Schizosaccharomyces pombe: one gene and its partners. The gene in region 1 interacts genetically with each later gene. Each region holds a gene or a part of one and is shown on either strand. Other genes may lie near its edges.

The links.
Region 2: mutations in sir2 (region 1) and cid12 together harm fitness more than expected from each alone (negative genetic interaction), as found in Schizosaccharomyces pombe (3 studies listed by BioGRID, with this or other methods).
Region 3: of sir2 (region 1) and lem2, changing one enhances a phenotype caused by changing the other (phenotypic enhancement), as found in Schizosaccharomyces pombe (one study listed by BioGRID).
Region 4: of sir2 (region 1) and clr3, changing one enhances a phenotype caused by changing the other (phenotypic enhancement), as found in Schizosaccharomyces pombe (3 studies listed by BioGRID, with this or other methods).

The regions. Positions count from the first base shown.
Region 1 is NC_003423.3:3,608,681-3,613,310, forward strand, and holds sir2 (histone deacetylase, Sirtuin family, NAD-dependent Sir2), read right to left. Parts: upstream 3,007-4,630; 5' UTR 2,877-3,006; coding exon 2,693-2,876; exon of another isoform or gene 2,530-2,692; coding exon 2,467-2,529; exon of another isoform or gene 2,430-2,466; intron 2,426-2,429; coding exon 2,343-2,425; intron 2,213-2,342; coding exon 2,181-2,212; exon of another isoform or gene 2,096-2,180; coding exon 1,659-2,095; exon of another isoform or gene 1,595-1,658; coding exon 966-1,594; 3' UTR 537-965; downstream 1-536. Other genes in the region: plasma membrane ZIP zinc transmembrane transporter Zrt1, read left to right, coding at 1-436; heat shock protein Hsp104, read right to left, coding at 3,679-4,630. UniProt on the Schizosaccharomyces pombe protein: Involved in silencing within the mating-type region, at the telomeres, and according to PubMed:12867036 also within centromeric DNA regions.
Region 2 is NC_003421.2:1,653,906-1,660,596, forward strand, and holds cid12 (poly(A) polymerase Cid12), read left to right. Parts: upstream 1-1,740; 5' UTR 1,741-1,763; coding exon 1,764-2,774; 3' UTR 2,775-3,176; coding exon of another isoform or gene 3,177-3,611; 3' UTR 3,612-3,725; coding exon of another isoform or gene 3,726-4,640; 3' UTR 4,641-4,729; coding exon of another isoform or gene 4,730-5,878; 3' UTR 5,879-6,175; downstream 6,176-6,691. Other genes in the region: splicing-associated factor Saf1, read left to right, coding at 1-807; NatA N-acetyltransferase subunit Naa50, read right to left, coding at 3,177-3,611; trp663 (TRP-like ion channel protein), read right to left, coding at 3,726-4,640, 4,730-5,878; SPOM_SPCC663.15C (uncharacterized protein), read right to left, coding at 6,377-6,691. UniProt on the Schizosaccharomyces pombe protein: Has a role in the RNA interference (RNAi) pathway which is important for heterochromatin formation and accurate chromosome segregation.
Region 3 is NC_003424.3:2,232,235-2,237,273, reverse strand, and holds lem2 (LEM domain nuclear inner membrane protein Heh1/Lem2), read right to left. Parts: upstream 2,997-5,039; 5' UTR 2,677-2,996; coding exon 610-2,676; 3' UTR 501-609; downstream 1-500. Other genes in the region: RNA polymerase I general transcription inititation factor subunit Rrn3, read left to right, coding at 1-278; protein Edc1, read left to right, coding at 3,187-4,125. UniProt on the Schizosaccharomyces pombe protein: Nucleus inner membrane protein involved in meiosis. Plays a role in regulating nuclear envelope (NE) morphology and nuclear integrity, particularly during spindle pole body (SPB) extrusion or insertion through the NE, and perhaps during karyokinesis.
Region 4 is NC_003423.3:252,728-257,658, reverse strand, and holds clr3 (class 2 histone deacetylase Clr3), read right to left. Parts: upstream 2,974-4,931; 5' UTR 2,838-2,973; coding exon 774-2,837; 3' UTR 521-773; downstream 1-520. Other genes in the region: cell cycle transcriptional repressor Whi5, read right to left, coding at 3,675-4,349, 4,428-4,511. UniProt on the Schizosaccharomyces pombe protein: Responsible for the deacetylation of lysine residues on the N-terminal part of the core histones (H2A, H2B, H3 and H4).

The DNA of each region.
Region 1 (4,630 bases):
TAGTGTTATTATCGGTCTTACAACTGCCGTCTCAGGTGAAGAATTTAAAACTTTATTTCCCGTCATTATTTTCCATCAGGCCTTTGAAGGTTGTGGTTTAGGTTCTCGTTTGGCGGGAATGGCCTGGGGCCCAAAAACTGCATGGGTACCTTGGGTGTTGGGCGTTATCTATTCGTTGGTTACGCCTATTGGTATGGCAGCTGGTTTAGGTGTTCGTGAGCATTGGGATCCTCTTGCTCATGGGTCTTATGCTGCCCAAGGTGTTTTGGATGCTATCTCATCTGGAATTTTGGTTTATGCTGGTTTAGTGGAATTACTTGCACACGATTTCTTATTTAGTCCTGAAAGAGAACGTAACTGGTATAAGCTTATTTACCTTTTGGCATGCTCGATGGCTGGTACTGGAGTTATGGCTTTGTTAGGTAAATGGGCTTGATTTGGTGGCTTTTTCGATGATCCGTGCATTTTATATTCTTCATTAAATCTGTTTTCTTCTTTTGAGTTTGAGTGTCAATATCGTTGACCAATTTCTAATTGTCCGTTTTCAGTTGTTTCTCTTTAGTATCGTACAATTAGATGCTTCATTGGTTGTATTGATATGTACCAATCAATCTTTCAATTTTAAATAATAATTGTGTCATTTTCACTGATTTACTATGCTTAAAAAAGTAGCTAATTTTGCATAGCCTATGAATGTAATTTGCTTCAATGTTCATTTACTAATTACACAGTCCTTGGTATTGTAAAATGTATTATAACTTGTTTTAATGTGTTTTCACCCAGTTTAGCAGATTTAAACATTAGGTGCGAAGAGAAAAAACAGTTTTTAACAATGGCACTTACAAAACTAAGAAGTCTCAAACGGATAATAAGTTAATGTCCAATAATCTGGCTCTCATACTCGATATATGTATATAATATATTTGCTTCTACATTCAACTTCGATAGATCGATCAGTCCTAAAATTAACAACTACCGTTTGTTGTGCTCGTGATATGATAGGTGCTGGGCTCCTCAAATTTTATATCCAAATCCGTTTCGAAAGCTCGCGTTTTGGAACCACTATGACACTCAGGTAAATCGCAAAGCGCTTGTAATTCATTCAGCCATCCAGCACGTTTACAAATCTCCACAATAACCCAATCACAATAAGGACTTAGAAAATTTACATCGAATTGGGTATGACGAACAGGAGTCCTCGAAATGTAAATCTGAGGAGTAGTAGGAGGAATAACACTGATGAGTTCTGAAACAGGAGCCACTTTTAAAGAAGTTCCAATACAAATTAATAAATCAGTCTCTTCAAGCTCACCACTCCCGACTTTGTTAAAGAAAGAATCCGGTAAGGCTTCCCCAAAAAATGTGATATCAGGTTTCATAATCCCAGGTTGAGCTAGATCATCTTCAGAAGATTCACTATCACCATCTGAAAAATAATGTTTCTCTTTTTTATTTTGACCGACTCTTCTTAATTTTAAGGGTGGTTTTCCGCATTCATTGCAGTAAGAAACTCTTTGATTTCTTATGTCTTCATATAACTCCGATCCATCCACCTTGTGCTTGCATTTGATACAAGTTGCGGTAGCAAAAGACCCTATATAATCAAATTAGACAAAATCACCAGTGCTCGAGATGCAAATCGGAAAATAAATACTTACCATGACATTGAATAATTTTGTTATCGGAGAGTCCAGTCTTTTTTTCCAAATTGTCTATATTTTGGGTAAACAATGTTGATAATTTATTCTTCTTTTCAAGCAATCTAATGAAGGCATGCGAGGGGGAATAATGATTCGTCTCCGGCAAAAGATCTCTAGCAAAAGTATAAAAAATTTCTGGATTTTCTCTAAACGTATGGATATCAAACATTTCAGAAGGTTCCGATAATCCATGGCGTGCCAAACGGGCATAAAAACCATTGTCTGAACGGAAATCTAAAATTCCCAAACTTGTACTTATGCCTGCCCCAACAAGGACGACAACATTTTTAGCTTTTTTCAATAAATTAACAACATCTTCAAAGGTATTAAAATGTGGAAGTTTGATTCTCCTAGCAACCTCACGTTTTAAAACTTCCTTCAGCAAAGGAAGTAAACTAATTAGCACGTTAGTATATCGATAGCAGATATTTTAAAAAATAAAAGATAAAAAGATAAGAAGGAAGTTAAAGAAAAGCATACTCTATGTCTTCAAACTCTTCAAGTGCACTAGGCTATTTACGTTAATAAATCTAGGTAAAGTCATAAGAAAACAAAACATGCAGTAGACCAAATTATTATTGCAATTTAACAAAAATAATCTGCTAATTTAATGTAATGCAAGTTATAAATCAGTAAGCATACCAAATTGATTCCAAGTTTTTTTAAAATCGATCGTACAGGCAACTCTTCTTCTATTAAATATTTCTCCAAGAATTTCGCATAGCCTACAAATACTAGTTAAAATGTAAATTAAGTAACTCCTTACCTGAAGCCCTTAAATATCTGACCATTTCGGATCGTTCATCCAAATCACTTATGTTTTCTGTTTCTAAGGAATCGTTAACTTTTTAAATAATTAAAATAAACTAAAGTATATGAAAAGCACATAGCTAACCTGAACTCAAAATCGTTGATCAATTGTAAATTTTGTAAATTCAAATAGACTTGCGCGTACCCTTGAAGGTATTGGAGTTAATAGTTGATATTCATACCTGGTTTATCCCATTCATCAGAATCAACCTCTTCATCCTCAGTTTCTTTACTGCCGCACATAATATCTACTAGTAAACTAGCACCGGAACTACTACCAGAAGAGCTAGGAGAATAACTAGCGACTGGAATTTTTTCCTCAACGGGAGTCGTCGGCATATTATTATCTAGCGGATTGGAAGCCATGACAGAGTTTGTATAACATGAAAATATGACTAATCAATTATTTTTAAGGAAGTATAAATTAAAGCTTCGTTTGAGAAAGGCAATGATCTACTGAACTGAAGATCTCTGGTTCAACTTTTCGATAAGTCTTATTACAATTACGAAAAGCTAGTCTCTTGTTTAGTGCAGTAAAGTTTCGTTAGCTTAATGGTATGCGGGCAACTGTGATCTCGTTATTTCCTGGTAATAATGGCTATTAGAAGCAAAGCACTGTATAAGTTTAACTATACAACTTGTTAATTTAAACGTTGCTTTGAACCATGAGAACTGGAATGCGTATTAGTATGCAATGCGCAAGTGTAGAAAGTAATGAAATGATATGATAGTGATTTACCAAATGTTAAAGTTAATCATGTAAATTCAATTTAAAATCTACTAAAAGTATGAGAGCTAATTCTGCTTTGATTTTATAAGGAATTACGAGCACTTTCTTACAAGCTCGACTTTCTTGAATGGACTGCATTAATTAATACCTACTAAAATAAATGGAGGTTTTTCGTAAATAACAATGGATTATTTGATAAATTTAAGATTCAATGTTTCATCATACTTGAATTGCTAATAACTAAAAACGATGTACTTAGCTTTTGTTAAATTGATTCTATCTATTCGATAAAGTTCATTGAACATTTTAATGAGAAAACAGTACTTCCTAAAAAGTTTATATACTATATTTTTATAAATAAATAAAATATATTAAGATTAAGCATATCATTAAACTATATCATAAAGTATCGTTAGAACTTTCTCATTTGAAATACATTTATTCCAATTCTTCATCATTAACATCGTCGTCAATACCATCCATGTCAATATCAGCAGAGCCGTTTGCATTAGCTTCATGATTTGGTTTGACAAATATCTTGCCATTTTGGACTACGACATGAGCAGTCTCCTTATCGCGAAGCTGGCCATTCAAAATTAAGACAGCCATGGGATTCAAAACTTGATTTTGAATGACACGGTTCAAAGGTCTTGCACCATAAGCAGGGGAATAACCAGCGCTTCCAAGAAGGTCTTTAGCTTCGTCGCTAACCTCGATTTTAATTGAGCGATGATTGGATTGAAGCCGTTTCTGAACCTCTAATATACGATTTTCGACAATATTGCGGATATCCACACGACGCAGACGATTAAAGATAACGATTGAAGAGATACGATTCAAAAATTCGGGACGGAAGAAGCCACGAATCGAGTTCATAACCATTTCCCGAGTGGTACTATCTATCTTTCCATCATCAGACTCATTGTCTGTTGTCAAGTATTCAGCGCCCAAGTTAGAAGTCATAATGATAACAGCATTCTTGGCATCAACAACCTGGCCTTGGCCACTAGTGATACGTCCATCATCTAGTACCTGCAAAAGTACAGTCAATACTTCTGGAGCAGCCTTTTCAATCTCGTCAAACAAGATGACGGAGTAAGGTCGTCGACGAAGTTGTTCAGTAAGCTGTCCACCAGCTTCATGTCCAACATAACCGGGTGGTGCTCCAATGAGACGTGAAACAGAGTGTTTTTCCATGTATTCAGACATGTCAATACGAATCATTGCATTTTCATCATCAAACATAAATGATGCCAATGCCTTTGTCAATAAAGTCTTACCAGTACCGGAAGGACCGCAAAACAAGAAAGATGCGATTGGTTGATTAGGATCAGAAAGACCAGCACGAGATAAGCGAATGGCGTTTGCAACTGCAGTAACTGCTTCATTT
Region 2 (6,691 bases), on another chromosome or scaffold:
CAAGCGGAGAGCAGAAAGAAGAAAAAAAGAGAACAAATTAAAGTGCGAGAAGAAAGAGCAAAACGCCATGAAGAACGACTGTCGCATAGGAATATGAGCCAAATGGAACGCCAATTATCAGAGCTGACACAATTAGAATCTTCGCAAGCTTTAAATGCACATGACAAGCAATTATTACAAAATTTGCAAAGAGATATGGCAATTATGAAGAAGAAAAACATTCATGGACATAGAGTTGGGCGTGTTGAGTCAGACAAGACTAAGGAGGCAGAACGTCAACATAAACCTAGAAAGCCTTTTATCCCTAAAAACCCAAAACGAAGTATATATTATGATCCAATATTTAATCCTTACGGAGTTCCGCCGCCAGGAATGCCTTATCGTGAGAAGGAAGAACTAAGTTCAGAAACAGATGAATCCGTTATTGATATACCTTTACCTTCTGAAGAATATCCTTTTGAGGATCCAAAGCCAAGGGAAAAGAAAAATAAGAGCTTTAAGCCAAAGCACCACAAAAAGCAAGACATAAATGCAAGTTCAGCACAACCAAAATCCACTACTACGACAGAAGCTGCTGCAAATACGAAGGACATTGAAGAGGAAACTATGATTGAGTACTCAGCTCAGCCGGTAGTCAGAGATTTACGACAAGAAGCTGCTCAATTTTTACCTGCTGCGTTTCAACGACAAAAACTAGCCAAGGGGCAGAAAATTGGACAGCCAGACAGGGATGTATCGAGCCAAGTTCAGGAAGACAAGGATGAAGAAATAGATAATTTCTACAAAGAAATTGGCGGATATCTATAAAAAAGTCGTTAAAATTATGGAGATTGGAAGTAAGGATTACCAAATGGGTGTAGACGGAATTTTTAGTTAATAAACATGCATATTAATTTATATATAATATCTGTTTACTAGGTTCAATTTTAAAGGAGCTTGATTGCATCTCTGTACTTGTTTTTTTGTTTTATTCAATTATGAGTGAGCTTTCATAAGTTAATTCAAAGGCTTATTATTATGATGCGGTCAATAATTTCAAATTTTTGATGTCCAAAAAAAACAAAGGAGATTTTGTTTCTGTGTTATTGCATGATATTTATTAATGTTTTCTTGGTTCAATAATTCCTTATTATAGTCACTTTTACACTGCTTGAGCGAAAGGGGATTTCAAAAAAACACCTTATATTCATCTTTCCGTGATTATTTCAAGTTGACTGTTTTTTGTGAATTTGTCTTTTGCTAAATTATGATTGTTACACTTAGTCCTACACTGTTCATTACGAATCAGATTACCAAAAAGAAAGAAGTACATGACTAATTACTTGGATTAATTTTATTTTATTTTCATATGTATTTAGACGCCATGACAGTATTTACATGCGTAAACCAACGAATTCGTTTATCAAATAAAAATATCATAAAGGAAACCTTTAAAAATCGAAATACACATGCTTAAGTTAAAATTTGCACAATGAGAGATGAGGGAGTACTTATCTATCTTTTGCTTGCTTTTCTTGGGTTCATAATCTTTGGTTTTCGCTATAAATGCTGTATGAGACTAGGAAGCTTTTGCAGTCAATCATTCTATTATTTATAAAAACAAATAAGTTATTTATTGATTAAAAACTCGTGATACTTTTTTTTGCTATAAAATGATTTATTTACATATAATTACAAGGCACTCGCACGACCTCGTTATGTGCGAGGAGCCATGAAATTGAATCCATTGATATTAAAATTAGCCAAAATGCCATTTCTTAAGAATGGGTAAAGTCCTGTTAGAGCTGCATTCAGTACCATGGAATGAAGAAGGTTTGAGTGATAATGCTCGACTTTATTCATTTTTGGAGTTCGTAAGCCCGAAAATCGAGGAATTGAAGTACAGAAAGCTTTTGTTAGAGAAACTACAGACTCACATTAGGGAGGTCGTTTTGGATGCTGAACTTCAAGTATACGGTAGCATGTATATTGGAACAACATTATCTATAAGTGATGTAGACGTATCTTTGAAGTCACCTCGAGTTGGAGAATTGGAGAAACGACGCGTCACCATGGTTTTAAGAAAGTACTTGGATGCTGATGCTGATTTCCATTCTAGTGCCAGAGTCCCTCGCATCAATTTAGTAGATGTTAGTGGAATTGGGGTGGATTTGACGTTTGGAAATGACAAAGCTTGCAGAACTGCTGAATTGCAAAAAGCTTATAACGAAGAACACCCAATTTTTGGTAGATTGCTGATGCTATTGAAGCACTGGTTGTTTGAAAGAGATTTGGAAAACGTTCATCATGGCGGGATTGCAAGTTGCGCGCTCTCTTATATGCTAATTGGTTGGCTTGAAATGCGATTTCACAAAAAGGGAATTGATTCGGAAGTGCAACCAATTCGAGCTTTACTACAGAAATTCTTCTATTTTTGGGGAGTCGAATGGACATACGAACTTTTTGTATTGAGACCTTTAACCGGTCAAATAGTTCCTAAGCTACAAAAGGGCTGGTTAAACGAAGTGCAACCAAATTTGCTATCTATTGAAGATCCAATTGACAGAAATAACGACATTGGAAAGCAATCATTTCAAATTAGTATGATTAAAGCTGCATTTGTTGCTTCAGCTAATGAATTATTATCCGATAAGACATGGTTTAGCACCTTTGCAATTACGGAAGATGAAATGTTTTTGTGTAAACAGTTTGAAAATGTTATAAATACTAAACGAAGTTTGGTGGAGGGATATGATAGTGATACGGAATCAGATGAATTACAAGCTGGCGGATAACTGCGGGTTAATGCATTTAAAAAATAATGCTCGCTGTTTAAATAAACATTTGTTTTTCAATTCCTAAGTTGTCTTGCCGCATGTGGTAATGTTTCACTACAGTTCGTATGTACTTTACTCTTGTTTAATTGAATGGATTCATATTCTTATTATTGATAGGATATAAGAATCCTACAATTATCTTAGTCATTTTCAAGTCTTTTAATTTTACTTAGGCAAGGTTCGGCTGTTTCAAATGATATCACATTTTGTACCTATTGAAGGTGCTAACAAAATCTGTTCTTTAAAAATTTCAAAATTAAATCTATTTTATTCTTTTAAAATCTATCCAAGGATCCATGTTAGATTTTCAAGTCAATTTAATAATTGCATTTCACTTAGATTAATAAATGTGTGTGCAATCTATAGCTTTTTCGAAAGAAGGACGCTATCTTCTGTTTTGGAGCTCTCATCAATAATGAATCCCCGATGAATAAACCATTCGGATACATCGAGTTTAGGGCTTAATTTAATGTAAATTTCTTTGGCTTTTCCCTCAGCTGCAGTCTCGCAAGCATATTCCAACAGCTTGGTACCAATAGAACGGTTTCGATAGGCTGGCAAAACTGCCAAAGATAAAATTTGGATTTTGTGCGATTTATTATGTGTTTCTTTTTTGCATCTAACAGCTCCTACGCAGACCTGGTTAAAGTACGCATATTGTGCTAAAGGCCCGACTGAGATTGTGTCTTTGTAAAAGGAGGTTGGAAATATAATGATTTCAGGATCAAAACACTTTTCGTTAATAACTTCAAGGATTTTCAGATTATTAGGGTTAATCGCATCAAGTTCAATCATCTTTTTTATGCAAATGCAAATATCTTTTTCTATATGTACTTGGTGTTGTCAACTTTCAGTCTTTAAGGCATTCTAATGCAATAGTTTGAGTTGGAAACATCCACGATAAAATCTTTAAACAGTACGCTGCATTTCATTAATCCCGTTGTCACATGAATGTGAAGGTATTGTAGATGCTGGTCGCATAGGAGAAGCGTTAACAAGGCTGAAGACATCGTCATTTCCATCTTCCTTTGTGTCTACGTTTCCTTCTTTCTTTGTGGTAGAGGGCTCTTCAAAATTTGATTCTTGTGGGATAATCTCTTCGGTGGATAGCTTTTCACTTGCAGAAACCGCAGGATTCTCAAAGTCAATATGAAGTTGTCTTTGATATTCATCTATTAATCTTCTAAGCCAAGGGACTGTGTAGCTAATGGCTGGCCATGCTGTACCTAGCATAGTAATGAAGTTCCAAAGGCTCCACAGGGCCATAAATGAAAATACCAGCCCTTGTATAATGATAAGAATGATTGCAATGATCACTTTCGGAATGATTGCTAAATCAAATGCTATCGGTATGAGAAGAGCAAAGGAAACCACTCGGGTGAGAGCAACCAAAAAGACGCAAAAGGAATTTTTGAAACCAACAAAAGGCCGAAACACTGCTAGCAATATAAAAGAGATGATTTCAATAACAAATAGAAGTATAGTTTGAATCTTCGCAAACTGTTGTACTAACGCTAAAACCAATGCAAAACTAAAATAATGTGCAAAGCAGGCGTAAACATAGAGCCATCGCCGTTCTTTTAAATCCAAATATAACCATCCCCACCATGTGTATATTTTTGGATCGCTTATCAATGTTTCTGGATTGTCCTCGTTACTCAAGCCTGACGTTGTTATCACTCTTATGACTTTGATAGTTAACCAAAGGAAAAGCCCAAAAAGCAGTGCCAGAAGCAAAGCCGCCAATATTACAGGGCCATATGCTTCCCTAAGTGTAAACTGGTAAATTATCATAGTTACCAATACAGGCCAACAAACCAACACCTATATCAACCAGATTAGTATAAGTATAAAGCAAAAAAGTCGTTAAGAGCTATGTATGAACAACTCATTCCTTTGTTCAATTAACTTACCCATCTCATACAAGCATTAAAAAGTACTCTAAACCAATACCTTGTGATATAATCGCATGAAGATTTTGCGATTATACGTGTCTGACGAAGAAACTTAATAATAAGTACGAATATTATAACGATTCCTCCTGCTATGGCCAAAGAAATCAAAAACCATATTAAAGTGAGTGTAAATAAATTCGTTGTTAGCGTTCCAACTTCGGTGGCTAGGCCTTGAAACCCATGGTAAAATCCAGGAATCGGGCTTTGAGGGTTTGTTGCAACAGCATCTCTTCGATGGACTCCACCTATCTTTGGAGAACTTAGGTTTCCATTGGAATGCTTTCTAAAAGACTCAAGGCTGTTTTCTATCTCTTTATTGGTAATAAATCCTAGAATCCATGCAAAATTACTAGCCCATGCGACTAGCACTTTTGGCTGTGTAATTCCAATTGCTCCCGTGAAAGCTATACATTGAAGTAGCTCTCCCATGTGCTGCAAAGAAGGAACGGAATTGATGAAAACCTGACGTGTCAGATAGGTGCTATGCTCCATTCCAATTACATAAAAGCCTAAGACGCCTGCTATACTCAATGCCAAAGCAGTTCCACTTAGAGCTTTTACGACTTTATTTTTAAACGTATGACCATTATTAAGTGTCGCGATCATGCACGCAAGTGGTGTAGAATTATCGATGGATGACGCTGCGATGTCTTCTGAGCGATACATGCGAAAACGCACTAAGCCTTCAAAATCAGGAATTCCCCAGGCAATTTTTGGGATCATCTGAACATCTTGAGGGCTCACTGGAAGTATTCCCTGTGTGGTTATAGCTGTATCTCTTGCAACTGGGCACACAGTATTAAGATTTATTTCACAAGGGTCGAAAGTAAATCTTGCCCTCTGCTCTCCATAAGCTTCAACTATAATATCAAACGTAACATTTGCGTCCACAGATGAATATCCAAGAATATTAAAGACTACTGACAAGTTTCGTGTATAATAACTTGCATCAAACCGATTAAACACTATCGGGGCATTTGACATGCATTCTGCGTACTCGGCTGTTCCAAGTTTGTGATTTGGTCTCTTACTATATCTTACTCGACCTTCCACTGACGATAAGATATTACTTAAAACTGCAAAGTAAGCTAAGAGTATTAGCTTCATTTTCATTTTCCATTAACATCCCCCTTCCAGTTATGTAGAGGGTTTAACTTTGGAACGAATGCAAAAAAAATTAAAATGAACTTTCCTCAGAATTACCAAACTATCACGAATAACAAAAACATGCTACTGAACTCAAATGCCGTAATTTGACTGTAATGTTTACGAAATAGCAGTCGTATTTTTTAACAACCATAGCATTGAGTTAAATACAAGGATTAAATAAATAGTAATGAAACGATTGAAGCTTTAAGATTTTTACGAAAAAGAATACAGAACGTGGCTTCGTTTATTTAGTTACCACCATCTTAGCATTGTTCTTACGCTCACAATTTTACACTATGAAAAAAGCAATATAATGGTAAAGAATGTATCATTAGTAAAGAATAAAAAAAAGAAATGCATTTTCATTTCATTTGTAGTTGTGAGAAGAAATGATGGAATGTGCGAGCCTCACTTGATTTTATGTCATTATGTTTTGGACCTCAATTAGTAATAAAATTATTCTGTTGAAGTCATTTCTGAAGGCGTTTCTTGATTTTTCGCTTGTAATTCGTTGAGTTGCTCCATTAAAAGATTTCGAAAAGGAGTCAGCAGCTTCTCTTTAGTTCTATTTAATTTCATTCCACAATTTGGAAGTTGTGGCTGCGGTACTCCATGAGCTGTAGTGGGTGTAATAATTGCGGACCCAAAGAAGTTATAAAGATGTAAAAGCCATTCACTAGTACTATCTTTATTCTCAATAGCCTTCTTGCTTTCTTCATCAAGTTCCTTCACATAATCACCAATTTCTTCCAAAACTTGATGTTTTGTCTC
Region 3 (5,039 bases), on another chromosome or scaffold:
CCAATATTGTACTTCAATTTGCAAAGGTTGCAAATCATCTCAATTTTATGTACGTCTATTCCATTATTGAGCAAAACAGAAAAGGAATTTTTAGAGAAGGGTTCGACACTATGGATGCCTATTTTCCCTTTGATCCTTACCGGCTTACGAAGTCTTCTATAATTGTTCAACCATTTTATAACGAATGGCAACAAATTCCAGGTTTGGATGATGACGAGGAAGAAGAAGACACAGACTACGAATCTTCAACCGTAATGTTGGGTGAATCTCCCTTTTGAATTCCTTTATTTTTTTTTAAATACCCTTTCTATGTGACATGTCCTATTTTTTCTCCGCTAATTTCTTACTCTAGACATGCCCATATTCAATCAAAAATGGTACTGGTTTTGGTTTTTATTTTAAAATAATTTATTTGGTATAACTAAGAATCACATTAATATAAGAAATACAGTTAAATTTCATCAACCTTGCAAACAAGTCCTCATTATACCAATTTTATGTTTCATTTTTAATATGTATAAGCATTCAGATAAATATATTATTAACTTACTTTTGTATTAGCTATGAAAAATGTCATAAATACAAAGCTAGAAATACAGTCGAGAATCATTATTCACGTAAAGGGGAAGTTGTATTAATAAATGAACGATCGGTTTGGAAATCCAAAGTATTTGTGCCGACCCACTCCCATACACGGGTCCATTCGCCGTCTACTTCTGATTCACGAGTTCTTACACTGCCAACTTGTTCAACACGTTCGACTATTGCTTCCCAAAGAGTTCGAGCAGTTGCTTTCGTCATATGAATTTGTTCCAATGGGCCATTTCCATGAAAGAGTATATCATGCATTTCGATTAGTGGTATAACGGGTTCTTGAGATCGAGACATTTGATAATTTGCTTTCTGTCTCTTCAAAGATTCTACACAGAATCGAGAAGCCGATGGTAGATACTTTGCTACGATACTGCGAGTACGAAAAAAATTGATGAGCTTAAAAATAACTCCTGACAACGCAAGGATTCCAAATAAAAAAACTTTGTTCCTCCAAACAAATTTTATCAGTTGCTGTTTTAAACGACACCGCAAAGGAATACCTGCCCAGCTATCGTAGCAAATTAATTTTGAATCCATGACAACTTCATTCGTTTCAGAAAGTACTGCCAAAGAAGCTTTAAATAAGTCCTCAAACATTTCAAGGCCAAGGGTTGGAGATTTTCTTTCAAGAAGCGTATCATGTAATAATCCTAACGCAAATGGTTTTGATGGGAAGGAGATATGATCAGATGATATATTAAGATTATCGGCGACATAAGGGTGCGCATTGTACGACATATTTCGTTCCAGCAAATCTGACGAGTTATTGCTACAATGCAAAATTGCATTCCAGGATCTTAATACACTTAAACATTCTTCACGAAAAATATTAACACTTTCTTCTCTAGAAGTATCACTAACGCAATACTTGGAGGGCCAAAATCCTAAACTTGAATACCATGGTTCGTAGAGGACATATCCGGGCTTGCATTCAACGTAATTTGGAGAGGGACATATTGCATTCGGAGGGCAAGTTCTACACAATGATGGAAAACTTATTCCAAGAATTGAAGCAGAACTTCCACTGGCACCCGAATCACAGAATCCTGCTGTAAACATTTTCTCCCGTAATAAAGCCAGAAAAATTGCTGCCACCACTCCTAATAAAATCATAAAAATATGCACTAAATAAGAAGAAGATATCGCGCTGATTCCAGGAAAGGCGCGCAAATTGTGAAGAAGACGATAATTGGCGTACTTAATGTCGTGAAATACTTTTTTAATAAACGACCAAAGTTTGCTTTCTTTTCGAGTCTGCTGCAAAACGTAATTTTGAAAAAGCTCGTCATCTTCCTCAGCAGAGTCTACTTCAGAATAAGGCGATGAAGATTCAGAGGGCCTTGCACTGTCAAGAGGAGCAAACTCGATATCTCGAGAGACTCGCTCAGGAACATTAGTAAAGGGTCGTTTATGTTGAAGAGGACTAGAAGTGGCTGAAGTTTGTAGACGATGTGATATTTTGGGAGACCTCAATTGTGGAGAAAAATTGTTTGAAGATGAAAGCAGCTTTAACCTCTCCGAAAATGCTGGCGAAGTATGTAAAGCAGAGCTATCCATAAATGACATAGGAACAGCTACCCTATGAGATTTATGCGAGCGAAATTTTGGTGTAGACGCGTGGGCTGGCGGAGTTTTCATAGTCAGCGATGTTTCCACATTAGGGCTCAATTCAGAATAGGACTGAAAGGTATTATTTTGAGAGACGTGCGGAGACTCTATTTTAACCGGGGTTTCAATGTTGCTAGGTTTGTCAATGAATTGTGGAGACAGAAGCGGTTCTGTTTCGTTGTGTGGCTTTTTCGTGCTTTTGGAAGGAGAGGAGGGATAAAGGTATTTAGGAGCTATTTCATCCTCGGAGCTAGACGCTTTTGAGGTGTTAGAGTTTTCCTCTTTTTGAAGATGAGACAATAAATGTTGTGGACCAGAGCTTAATTTGTTTTTCCGTATTCTATCCACCATCCTAATATACTCTATTTTTCTGGCATTCACAGGGAATGACACTCCCGATTCATGAAGGATCTTTTTCAAGTCTATGACACGAAGATTTCGCAATTCGAAGTTAGGGTCCTCCCAATTGTCCATGGTGAATAATTCAAACTGATCAAAAATGGTATAAAGCTGATATAAGCTAGTTAATTACATGAATCCTTATCTACATTAAAAAGGAAACCTGGCATAAGTTGCTGATTCGTGAACGTAATTGCAATCCCATACAAATTTATAATATTACAGCAATGAGCTATAATATACTTAGGAAATTGCTTGAATTCCACTGTTCAAACACACCTTTTCAAATTTAATAAAAGACTTCACTAAACGAAGGTAAAGCAATTTCTTATTTCTCTATCTTTGTGCCGAATCTTTGTTTTCCTTCTTTCTTTTTGCCAGTTAAAGTGGGTGGCAAATAATGGTTAAGGGAAGAAAGCTCTATAAGGAGGCATAGCGCAGCTCATTGCTTTGTGTCACCTCAGCCCAAATAACGTATATTGGGTAAGAGTGTTGCCCCCGAAGTTATCCTTAACCAACATCAATCACTAAGAATACAGAATCCATGATCATTAGGGATTACTCGAATTTTGACTATAGTAAAAAATGCAAAAAGACATTGGACGTAGATTTCAACGTAATAAGAAGAAAATTAATTCTAAACCGGGCGGAGCAATGGTTGCTTCCAGCGATGTCGAGTTCAGTTTAGATGGAATGTCGATTATGCCCCAACGAGATGGTAATCTCCAGATACCTAACTTTGTGAAACCCAAGAGTACTTTTGCTACTTCTAACATTGGTGAAAGCAATGGTAAGCGAAATGGCGATAAAGTACGCGGGAATCGACGCTCTAAATCTGGTCACAGTTCGTATGCTGGCTCTCGTATCTCAGGTGGCAATTCTAATTCCCACCTTCCTTCTGGTGTTGCTTCGGCTCCTGCTGGCTTAGGAATTGATAAGGTTGCCGTCGGAGAAGTTGATTCTCATTTGAAGTCTGTATCTTCTTACGTTTCCAATTCTTCCGGTGCTGATCGATCTTTTTCTTCGAATTCCTCTTCCGATACTAATTCCATTCTTTACGCCGGTCCTACATTTACTCATTCTCCGGCCGCTTCTAATCTTCCCATCCCTACGTTCTTACACTCTCCCGTTTCCGAAAAGGCTGAATGGCAACCTCCTACTGGTAGTGTGAACTCAAACATGCCTTTCCAGTTTCATCAATCTTCCTCTGTTCCTTCAACCCCATCCGAAGTTGCCATGGGTCATAATTTTTGTCCGATGTCTCGTAACGATCCCTCATTGCAGAGTATTCAACAGACGAATGGATTTTACAGTGGACACAATTCTCCTCATACTAACTATTCAGCTTCCACTCCTTCTTTTAATCACTTCAATGCTGCCGGCCATCCCACTGGTAACATTACCCCTACTTTGAATTCCCCTAATAACGGCATTCATTGTCATTCTACTTCTGCCCTAGACTTATTGTTTCATCGCGATCGTGAACAGCGCTTGTTCCGTATGCTGCGTCAAGGAAGTGCATAGTTTCATTGGATGCTTATTTATGTCTAAGGACATATCACCTTTTTAAGCCTCGTGTTCTGTTCTAACTATTCCACTTTTTTGTTTCACCTTCTTTCGTCTCCGCGTTTATCTACACGTGTTCGTTGTAGCACTATTTATTTGAACATTGGCCAAGAGAATTTATCATAGTCTAGTATTTTTGCTAGTATTATGACTTTCTTACTATCACCCTATGTACCTCTGTCTTTCTGTTTTTTTGGATTATAGAATTTAGCTCTCTATATGGGTTAATTTTGTTTCCTTCGCTTTTGGTTTTTAGAGGATTTCATACAAAAGCTACTGAATTCCTTTTCTAACGGCTTATAGTTAAAAGAAATGCCAACGTTTTTAATGGATTTCTTGGATTTGAAATCTTGATTTTTATTGACTAGATTTCCTTAACTTCATCTTATTCCTTGTTAGTTAATTGAGCGAGCAATTCATTTATAATATGGAAATGTTCGTCAATGACTATTTATCGAAAATGTGCCTCGTTTACTTTTCGATTTGTATGCTTAGAATGGGCATTTGTTACCTTTTTTATGAGCGTTGGGTGTTATGATCTGCATATTGCATTAATTTTATTCTGGCTAGTTTTTATTATGCTATTAATAATCTCGTTGTGCTTTTATCGAGATTTGTTTGAAACTTGTTTCACCGGTCTCGTACATTTTTTTCTCTTGTGTTTTTTTCTTTTAATTTTCCTAATTATTACTGACGTGTTGCCTATTGCTTTGCGATGACAGTACATCTTATTTTCCTGTGTCGAGGATTATAGTTATAATCTTCTTTTCCTCTCATGAACTTGGCTTTGGTTGCCAACCTTTTAAACTTTCGTCCATGATATACATGATGTTTGCTAATATAAGTGATATTTATGTGGTCACCTTTTTTGG
Region 4 (4,931 bases), 3.4 Mb from region 1:
TTAAAAAAAAAAAAAGCCAGCCTTCCTTAATAGTAAAGTTGCTACATTTACAATTACTGTTGACCGGTTATCATTCATGCAATTTGGATTAGTTAAAAAAGTTGAACATCACAGAATCATCCATCATTCATGAAGGTCGTACTGGGAATCGAACCCAGGTCTCGAGAATCAGAATCTCACGTGCTAACCATTACACCATACAACCAAATCAATTTTTTTGTGTGATATAGTTATTAATATTGGAGAATAAGAAAACAATTTAAATGCTGTTTGTACTATGAATCTAATTTTACAATTTAAACAACATACTATAATATTATCCTTTTGCGGTACAAAAAATGGATGAGGGATTTCCCTCAGCTTTAGAGAAATGCTTTTAAGCAAAATTACGACAAAAATCAACAATAGTTGTTTGAACTAAAATAATATCACGGATTTGAGGAGCTTTATTTTATAAAACAATATTATAACCTTATTTATTTAATTATATTGAACATGAATAAAATGAAGCCAGCAATAACAATAAACCATTTGTGTATACATTCTACTGGAAAATAAAGTCAAAATCCACCAACCTTGAGAATAATGAGCTCGAATTAAAGTATAAGTAAAAGAGACAAAGCAGCTTAGCAGATTGAGTACGAATCATTCAGCGGGTTTGGCAAATCATGAATGTCCGTTATAAATTTTAACGTAGATAACTTAAGGAGGTTAAATGTGTGACAATTAAAAGAATAGAAAACCATGAAAAAATCATAAGTCAATAACGAATGTTACTGAGAAGTTGGTCGGGCCTTTTGAAGCAAATGCAGCAAGTATTGAGTAACCGCTCGATAGTGTTGCTCCATCATGTCCGAAGTTTCAGTATGTTCACTTTGCATAAGTCGTCCATATCTTCTTTTAGCACGCTTTGCCTTTTTCCAGCACTCATTACTAGAACTCACAAACACGAGTGAATGACGATAATACCACGTTGGAAGATCTTCCTCTGATGCCGTTTTAAGACCCACCAAAGGTTCAGTGCCAAGGAAATTCACCATACACTTAACTCTGTCTGACACATTCCTGGAAGATGCCAAATTAACCAATCCATGTACCGCTTTGCCTCCACCGATGAAAAAAATATTTTTTGAAATCGACAACTCAACATAATTATCCCATACATAAAGACAAAGTTCTTTCACTTCAGAAAGAATGTCAACCGGTGCATTTTCACCGTCCGTAACCACTTCAGGTATATTTATGTCGATAAGCCCCCAGTCCTGTTGCATAGCCCATTCAACATAAAGGCTCACGGGATCTACTAAAAGCGAATCATTTAAATTCAAAACGTTCGTTTCACTAGTTCCATTACCCAGGACTCTAGGAGATTCATGGACAATAACGAGAAGGTTATCTTTTTGAAAGAAATTGCTAGAGCACAGTACTTGATTGTTGAATACATTGGAAACGGAATCCCTTAGTATTGGCATATTGGTAATTTTCCAGTCTTCGAAAAGTTTTTTAGCTTGATAAGTTCGAATAACATCATGTAATCGATCTACATGGGCATCCTTAGGATTTGCGTCGAAGTGTTTCGGCCTCATACATCTCCAGTATTGGGATTGTATTTTGGTTACATGGTTGATGGTAGCAACGGCCTGTGGACATGCATATGTTGTATGCAATCGTCCAGGAGGAATTCCCAACAAACTTTGGGCTACAGCTAAGGCTGATGTGCTTATAGAATCCAAATTATAACCTCCCTCAAGGGAGATAAAAACTTTCCCATCTGCTAATCCCATTAACATTTGTGTCATATGAGCATAGGCAGCTGGAGTTAACAAGAATTGACCAATGTGATCTCCTGCAGCAGCATCAAAGCCGCAACTTACAATAACTAAATCTGGATCAAATTCATAAGCAACAGGCATTACGACGCGCTGAAAAGCGTATATATAATCACCATCTCCCATGCCAGCACAACTCCAAGGAATATTTACAGTTCTACCCAATCCCGGGCCCTCTCCACAATTTTCTGCACACCCATAATTGGTGCCAGGATAGAAACGACCATTTTCATATCGATGCAAAGAAACGTATAGAACATTTGGATCGTCATAAAAAGCCATTTGCGTACCATTTCCATGGTGTATATCCCAGTCGACAATCAATACTCTTTTTATTTTATCCGGAAAGCGTTGTAGCATACTCCTTGCGGTTACAGAAACATTGTTGAATAAACAAAAGCCACCAGGTTTATGGGGTTCTGCATGATGGCCAGGAGGGCGAACAACTGCGAAGGCATTTTTTACTTGACCAGTTACGACAGCCGTACATGTTTCAATTGCGCTACCACAAGCCAATCGAGCACAAAACGCACTTTCGTTATTATAGTATAGAGAATCACTGATTTTTTCGAGATTGGCCAAATCCTCATGAGACATTTTTTCGGTATTAGTAACCCTATCATACATTTCCTGTGAATGAACTTGTAATAACTCTTCTAAAGTAGCTTCTCTAGCCGGAATCCGTAAAAATACATCTGACGGACTCGGCACATTAGATACATAACCGGCCTTCTTTATAGCTTCAAAAACACGAAGGACGCGTCTTGGATCTTCAGGATGGTCATCCACTTCACTTAGAGTGGCATGGAATCTCATTCGAGGATCATAGCATAATCCAGATTTTTTCAAGATTTGCGACATTTCATGGGATTCGTTATTTAATGTATTTTCACTTCCAGACATTGGTTTATTGTTTGTCAAAAGAATAGACCATGGAGTTACCGTGTTTACAGCATCATCGGATGGTTTTACAGAAGTAGATGCACCATCAGAATTAGAGGCCAGCATTCGTTTTCTATCGCCCTTAAAAAGGTCAATCAATTAATAAATTAATAAAAAAATCTCCTATTAAACAACTCCCTCATAAAACTGTCGAAACACTTTTTGAAGCGCGGCTCACTCGATATAGGTAGTTTTGGTCGTCAAAACTGTTGCTGGTACTTCTAAGACATAAGTATAGAGGAGCAATGAGAGAATATAATCTCAACCATGCTAACAAAGGAGTTTGTTTGGTAAAGAATAAAAATGTAAGTAATTAAGACGTTTAGTAAGGCTTTAAATAGAAGATTGATCCTGAACGTATGGAGATTGAGAAAAAATAGAGTTTGTAATGAGGCTCATGGGAGGGTCTTATTTTTATTTATTTATTTATTTTATTTTCTTAGAAACTTAAAAATAGCTTTGTCTCGAGCCATACTTCGAAATGAATGCATAATTTTGCGAGTTCGCGAATTTCCATTATCTTATATAATAATCATTTCAAATCATAAGGATCAAGATGTAGGAAGAACGTTAATAAATACATGGTAAATAATGTTTCTATGATCTTTAAGACTGTTGTACGCCCGGAAACATTCACCCTTTGTCATAAACATCATTAAGCATTATCACAATTTGGCTTGTACATATCAAGCATTTAAACATATAGAGGGTTAATAGCTCATCAACCATAGGACTGGAGACGGATAGCAAGAAATAACAAAACTTCTCAAACGAGATTTTTCCAAAAATTCTTCAGCAGGATGTGAACAATCAATCTATTCATCCAAATTATAGATTAACTCTCATGAAATAATTATGTAATTTTATATCTTAATGCTCGTATACCATCTAAAATGAAGGATGTTATGGTTTTTTCGAAGGCATAGAATTCACCAACGTAAGCATAACTTCAGCTGCCTTGCAATCATCTGCCGATAGGGGATAAGCCGTTGGAAAAGGAAGACTCGTGGACTTGCGAATTCTACTGAGGTTTGCAGTGCCAAGGCGAAGAGACTCATCGGTTTCTTCAGGGCGTGAAATATGGTAATTCATTCCGAACAGTGGAGATTTAGCTGAAGCAGTGGAGGCATGGCTAAGTTCAAATGGCAGTCTGGGTAGCTCAGTATGAGGCTCAACGTAGTTCAACCAAGGAGGACTAGTTCTATCAAAAGACGAGGACGTAGAAGAAACAGCACTAGAAGATGAGTAAGGAGATACAGGCTTCTTATAAGGAAGCTGAGCGAAGCCCTCTCTTGGGCTCACCAATCGCGTAAATGAACTTGCACGCAGCTTGCCTGTATTCGATCCCATAATTGAGTTGGGGTGATGCGGCCTTCTTAGCTTAGAAGAGTCCAAGTCATTGATCGAGCGTGATCTACGATGAACGTGATTTTCCTTACGAACAAGCGTTTCCACTTGATCTAATGTCTGATCTTCCCATCCATGATCGACCTTAAAAAACGCTGCCTTCAAACGAGCCCTAAGTTTGTTTGATAACTTGTATTCAAAAGTTAATGACAATTCGCAACGATTTTTATGCTAAACCAAAATTATTCATCGACGATTCTATTTGTATCGTCGAGATGTTACCTAATTGTGTTTGCGTAATTGACATACCTTGCTTAATGATTCATCGTATTTTTGTTGAATAACTTCATCAGTCTGCCTTGTAGCTTCATTTTTCTTGTGGCCGCCTGCCATGAATTAATATTTGTTGAGTTCGTCTGTATGCAGGTATATAAAAATGACGAGTTATTAGCCTATTCGAATTCTCCTTTCGATAAATTCCTTTTATAATATCCAATTGCAATCAAATAATCCTCCGTATAGCATATAATTGTTTCAATTGAAACAAGACGCGTTGAACGATGTGTTGGTAAGTCGAAAGTCGCGCCTGCCCGTACAAACGATTGAAAAAAGCAACAGGCAGAACACCAGAATTATCAAGTAACAAAACACTCTACCATACAAACAATAAAAACATAAGATTATCAGCCAAAGTTACATGAATATACTGATGTCGGTTATATGCAATTTACTTGGTACCTTTGTCTTTTTGTAAACACCGTTTTCGTCGATGAGAAGTTGCAAATAGACCAAAAAAATTGCATTCAGAAACAT